2 linked regions of the Macaca mulatta genome follow. The protein of the gene in region 1 binds, or shares a complex with, the protein of each later gene. Links are inferred from orthologs where the notes say so. Each region holds a gene or a part of one and is shown in the gene's direction. Other genes may lie near its edges.

The links. Proteins that work in one complex are often made in the same cells at the same time.
Region 2: NCOA6 (region 1) and KDM6A share a complex: the UniProt entries of both Homo sapiens proteins name them as parts of the MLL2/3 complex. The link is inferred for Macaca mulatta from reciprocal best matches to the Homo sapiens genes NCOA6 and KDM6A.

Annotation. Positions count from the first base shown.
Region 1 is NC_133415.1:87,528,856-87,532,510, reverse strand, and holds part of NCOA6 (nuclear receptor coactivator 6), read left to right. Parts: intron 1-1,938; coding exon 1,939-3,655. UniProt on the Homo sapiens protein: Nuclear receptor coactivator that directly binds nuclear receptors and stimulates the transcriptional activities in a hormone-dependent fashion. Coactivates expression in an agonist- and AF2-dependent manner.
Region 2 is NC_133426.1:45,077,792-45,080,718, forward strand, and holds the end of KDM6A (lysine-specific demethylase 6A), read left to right. Parts: intron 1-215; coding exon 216-386; intron 387-1,524; coding exon 1,525-1,554; 3' UTR 1,555-2,395; downstream 2,396-2,927. UniProt on the Homo sapiens protein: Histone demethylase that specifically demethylates 'Lys-27' of histone H3, thereby playing a central role in histone code. Demethylates trimethylated and dimethylated but not monomethylated H3 'Lys-27'.

The DNA of each region.
Region 1 (3,655 bases):
CTGTTACCTTTGAGAGGCTGCTGTATTGTCTATGCTGTCCTCTTTGGTATTTACTGTCTGGTGGGCTGATTTTAAAGATAAAAGGCATCCATGTCATAGCCCTGACATCAACAGGCTTTTGCAGAAATTATGATTTTCTTAATGTGGGAACCCCAGACTGAATGTGAAAAATAGGAACCTGCTATATTTGACTATATAGTCTAAAGGACAATTGAACCATAGAAATGCCATCTGTTATTGGCTTTATAAAGGTCAAGAAGGTACTCGGGCCTAAAATAAAAAAGGATTTTTAAAAAAATCTTCAAAACTGGATTCTACACATTGTATTTGTTGATACCATGGAAATCTTTGGCCAGAAGACATTAATTAGCTATTGAGTACTGAGTCTGACCCACAAAATTTGGTAGCTGCTCTATGAAAATGTTGAGTCAGCATTTCTTTTGACCGCCAGAGCCAATTGCTCTTATTCCTACACCTTCTTAAAACCTCCCCAATGTACTCTTCATGCAACAATGGAATAAATCTAGTTTGTGGAACTGGAATTGTATCCCACATGTGCACAGCTGTATGCCCACTTTTTCCCACAGAACTACCGTTATTCTTGGTTTGCGTATCTTTTTTTTTTTTTTTTGAAATGGAATTTTGCTCTTGTTGCCCAGGCTGGAGTGCAGTGGCGCAATCTTGGCTCACCACAACCTCTGCCTCCCGGGTTCAAGCGATTCTCCTGCCTCAGCCTCCCAAGTAGCTGGGATTACAGGCATGCGCTACTATGCCCAGCTAATTTTGTATTTTTAGTAGAGACGGGGTTTCACCATGTTGGTCAGGCTGGTCTCAAACTCCTAACCTCAGGTGATCTGCCCGCCTCGGCCTCCCAAAGTGCTGGGATTACAGGCATGAGCCACCGCGCCTGGCCAGTTTGTGTAACTTTTTATCTTTTCTGATTGTAAGGTTTTGGTTCTAAAATGCCAAGTAAAATCTTCACAAAAAAGAGAATAATTTGAGATGTTGCCCTCTGCATATCTAGAAGACATTGTCCTTCAGGGTTCTTTTTCCAGAATTATTTTTTATTCCTGAGGGCTATGCTTCCGCCTTCCTTATTCTCCAACTGTGGATTCATGGAAAATATTTCTCCAAATAGAGATTTGCATGTAAGAAAGTTAAGTGCAAATTAATATCCATAAAAACTTCAGTGCCCTAATTTTATTTTCAATGTGTATATCAGCTTCCATTAACTCCTACTGTTTATTAAACTGATTTACATCTGAAGGGCAATTTTAATTCAGTTGGTTTCCCCCAAAGGATTAATCCTGAAGGATGCGGCATAGTGTATGGAGCCAATGAATTGGAATAATTTTAAATTTCTCTTTCTTAAGGAACTGAATTCTAGAATTTTATATTTTACTTCTGTTGAAAGAATAAAAAGGCTGTCTTCAATGCTGTTATTTTCAATAAAACCACATCTTTAAAAAAATTATTCCTATGCTAACAGAAGAAGTGAATCCTAAATGCTTTACTTCATTCACAAGTACATTGAAATATTGATTATGACTACATGAGATCTGAATCTTGGGTAGACAGGCACTTGCTGTTGATGGAGTTTTTCTCATTTCATCTGAATGTTTGGCTGGTATAGACACAGCCATTTTCAGTGCATAGCACAGAAAATCAGGCTCTTAGTACAGTCATGGCTCATTCAGACCCTACACACCAAGGAGCTCCAGGTTTTTTGATGCTTTGCTTTTTGCTTCCTTAAGCACTGTGCCCCTTTTGCTTATGTCAAGTAATGAGGGGCTGCCCCCTGCCCCAGGAGTGGGCATGCCTGAGCTGTTTGTGCATAGTCTGTGCCACCTAGATGAGTATTGCTTGGCTATACTCTAAAGGTAGCAACATTTTCTTGCTGAAAAATCTAACTTCCCTGATTTGGGGGGCTTGTTTTAGGTTATCCTTCTCAACCAGTTGAACAGAGGCCACTTCAGCAGATGCCTCCTCAACTCATGCAGCATGTGGCACCCCCACCACAGCCACCACAGCAGCAGCCACAGCCACAACTGCCTCAGCAGCAGCAGCCACCACCTCCCAGTCAGCCACAGTCTCAGCAGCAGCAGCAGCAGCAGCAGCAACAAATGATGATGATGCTCATGATGCAGCAGGATCCCAAATCAGTTAGGCTTCCAGTCTCTCAAAGTGTCCATCCTCCAAGGGCCCCCCTGAACCCCGACTCCCAGAGAATGCCCATGCAACAGAGTGGCAGTGTGCCTGTCATGGTCAGTCTGCAAGGACCTGCCTCCGTGCCACCATCACCTGATAAACAAAGAATGCCAATGCCTGTGAATACTCCTTTGGGAAGCAATTCAAGGAAAATGGTCTATCAGGAGAGCCCGCAGAATCCTTCCAGCTCGCCACTGGCGGAGATGGCCTCGCTCCCTGAAGCAAGTGGCAGTGAAGCACCATCTGTCCCAGGAGGCCCAAACAACATGCCTTCACATGTAGTACTTCCCCAGAATCAGTTAATGATGACAGGGCCAAAACCTGGACCATCGCCCCTTTCAGCAACTCAAGGTGCAACTCCCCAGCAACCCCCTGTAAATTCTCTGCCCAGCTCTCATGGCCACCACTTTCCAAATGTGGCCGCGCCAACCCAGACATCTAGGCCCAAAACACCAAACAGAGCCAGCCCCAGACCCTATTATCCTCAGACACCCAACAACCGCCCTCCCAGCACAGAACCTTCAGAAATCAGTCTGTCACCAGAAAGACTCAATGCTTCCATAGCAGGACTCTTCCCTCCACAGATTAATATTCCTTTACCTCCTAGGCCAAATTTAAACAGGGGCTTTGATCAACAAGGCCTAAATCCAACAACTTTGAAGGCCATCGGGCAAGCACCTTCAAATCTTACCATGAATCCTTCCAATTTTGCTGCCCCACAAACTCACAAATTAGATTCTGTGGTAGTGAATTCTGGAAAGCAGTCTAATTCTGGAGCAACAAAACGGGCAAGTCCAAGCAACAGTCGCAGGTCTAGTCCTGGGGCCAGTAGGAAAACCACTCCAAGCCCCGGGAGGCAAAATTCAAAAGCCCCTAAACTTACTCTGGCCTCTCAGACAAATGCAGCCCTGTTGCAGAATGTGGAGTTGCCGAGAAATGTATTGGTCAGTCCCGCTCCTCTGGCCAATCCCCCTGTACCTGGGAGCTTTCCTAACAACAGTGGGCTGAATCCTCAGAATCCTACTGTGTCTGTGGCTGCAGTTGGGGGTGTTGTTGAGGATAACAAGGAGAGCTTGAATGTGCCTCAGGACAGTGATTGCCAGAATTCCCAGGGTAGGAAGGAACAGGTAAACATTGAACTAAAAGCAGTCCCTGCCCAAGAAGTTAAAATGGTTGTCCCTGAAGATCAATCCAAAAAGGATGGGCAGCCTTCGGATCCTAACAAACTTCCCAGTGTCGAAGAGAACAAAAATTTGGTGTCTCCTGCTATGAGGGAAGCACCAACATCGTTAAGTCAACTTCTTGACAACTCTGGAGCTCCCAATGTGACAATTAAACCCCCTGGGCTTACAGATCTGGAAGTAACACCTCCAGTAGTTTCTGGGGAGGACCTCAAAAAAGCATCTGTCATTCCCACACTGCAGGATCTGTCTTCTTCTAAAGAACC
Region 2 (2,927 bases), on another chromosome or scaffold:
CTAACTATGCATTACTACCCATGTCTTTGGATTTGGTGCAAAATAAACCTGGTCTGTTAAAGATTCTCAAACACAGCCATGTTTTTCTTACCACTTACTCTTAACCAGAGATCACTGTCCACAATTTCATTCAAGTAGAATTCCATGATTATACTAAAGCAGTACAGTGAATACCACCATCTCTATTGAATACGTTTTTCTCTTGTATAAAACAGGTGGAGGTTTTTGATTTGCTTTTTGTCACTAATGAGAGTAATTCACGAAAGACCTACATAGTACATTGCCAAGATTGTGCACGAAAAACAAGCGGAAACCTGGAAAACTTTGTGGTGCTAGAACAGTACAAAATGGAGGACCTGATGCAAGTCTATGACCAATTTACATTAGTAAGTCAAATCAACATGTGAGTACATAGTTAGCTGGGTTATGAAGCAGCAGTGTTTGTTCTGCCACCTGATAAGTAGGAGGTAATGAAATATTTTAAATTTCCCTTTGGCTCATTACATATTGCATGAGGGTGTATTCATATCATTCCCCCCTCCATTTCCAAGTATTTATTCCTATAAAATTGGCATATATCATTTTCAGTTTTCTTCCTGGGTAAGACCAGCCTAAATAATTTTACAACAATTACATTTAAAAATCTTCACGTGCTTTAGATGGAACACTATCATATCCTTTATGTCATTTTATCTCAGTTGATAAGTTGATAAAATGTTTGTGTACGTAGGTTATTAGAGCCCACAAAATGAATCAGTAAATGTGCTTTTAAATATACTTCTGCTTTTAGAGCTAATTGTATTTGTTTAAAATTTTGTCCTTGCCAGAAGTATTAACCTCATGGGAATATTTAATGGAGCTTAACTTCCTGGTATGTTATATAACCTTATGAAATTCAAGTATACTTATAAATTGCACACAGTTTTTAATTTCAGACAGCAGATGCTTGGGGGAAGCATTTTACTTTAGCAGATCAATAGCTTTATGAATAGAAACAGAGATAATTTATGAATTGTTGATTTTCTCCAGTACTTGTCTCCCACACATATGTGATCAGAAACTTTTTGAAATTTAGTTTCTGATATTTTCACTTGAATAGTCTTCAAGATTGCTTGAAGAAGAAAATTATCTGGAATATGTTGAAGAAAATATATTACCTAGCTGAGATAGATTCTGAAGACAGTCACTAGTGAAATTGTAACTTGTTAAATTATTTTTCAAGAAGCCCCCCTTTTTTTAAGCAATCTTAAGAAACGGTAAACTTAATAACATTCCAAGAGTTTTTGACTAATTGGTGAAGAAATATAGAAAATTGCGTACGCTGAGTAGGATAATGGTCTTAGACTCTTAGGAAAATTGGCTGAATGGGAGATAGTAAGGTAGGTTGTACTTTTATGTTGTGTAGCAGGCTGGTGAACTTTTTGAGAGTTATTTCCCCTGACTTCATAAGCAGACTATATGTTTGTAGCCATGAGCTATTAACAATTTGTATATCAAAATAACCTACCTTACTTTTATTTTCAGGCTCCTCCATTACCATCCGCCTCATCTTGATATTGTTCCATGGACATTAAATGAGACCTTTTCTGCTATTCAGGAAATAACCCACTTCTGCACCACTGGTTTTTGTAGCTATCTCGTAAGGCTGCTGGCTGAAAACTGTGTCTATGCAACCTTCCAAGTGCGGAGTGTCAACCAGCTGGACGGGAGAGAGTACTGTTCCTACTCCAGGACTCTCACAAAGCTGATCAGCTGTACTTCACAAAAAAATAATAATTTCCATGTTTTGTATATATCTGACAAAACTGGCAACATCTTACAGACTACTGACTTGAAGACAACCTCTTTTATATTTCTCTATTTCTGGGCTGATGAATTTGTTTTCATCTGTCTTTTCCCCCTTCAGAATTTTCCTTGGAAAAAAAATACTAGCCTAGCTGGTCATTTCTTTGTAAGGTAGTTAGCAATTTTAAGTCTTTCTTTGGTCAACTTTTTTTTAATGTGAAAAGTTAGGTAAGACACTTTTTTACTGCTTTTATGTTTTTCTGTCTTGTTTTGAGACCATAATGGTTACACTTTTGGTTCCTAAATAAAACATTAAAAAAATTAACAGCCAAGTCACAAAGGTAATGGATTGCACATAGACTAAGGAATAAACTTCAGATTTGTGATTTTTGTTTCTAATCTTGATGTAAATTTACACTATTTATAAATACATATTTATTGCTTGAAAATATTTGTGAATGGAATGCTGTTATTTTTTCCAGATTTACCTGCCATTGAAATTTTAAGGAGTTCTGTAATTTCAAACACTACTCCTATTACATTTTCTATGTGTAAATAAAACTGCTTAGCATTGTACAGAAACTTTTATTAAAATTGTTTAATGTTTAAAGAGTTTTCTATTGTTTGAGTTTTAAAAAGACTTTATGTACAGTGCCCAGTTTTTGTTCATTTTTGAAATCTGATTATATATATTTTATATATACTTATGTATGTATATATAATATATATAGAAATCTGGATATATATGTATAAATATTTAGAACTTAAATTTTTCTCGTTTTAAGTTTCACATCTATGGTAGATTTTTGAGGTGTCTACTGTAAAGTATTGCTTACAAAAAGTATGATTATTTTTAAAGAAATATATATGGTATGTATCCTCAAGACCTAAAATGTCAGACTGGTTTATTGTTAAGTTGCAATTACTGCAATGACAGACCAATAAACAATTGCTGCCAAAATGTAGTATAATAGTAGAAAACAAATAGTGATTGAACTTAAGATTTTAAAAGGAATGTTATATGGGCTTGACAAATCCTGTACATGACTTAGTAACATTTTATATGGAAAAGGGGATTCAGGATGAAGGGCTCTATTTTAGAATGAAAATAAATTAAGAGACTTATTTTTTAATGTTAGGCA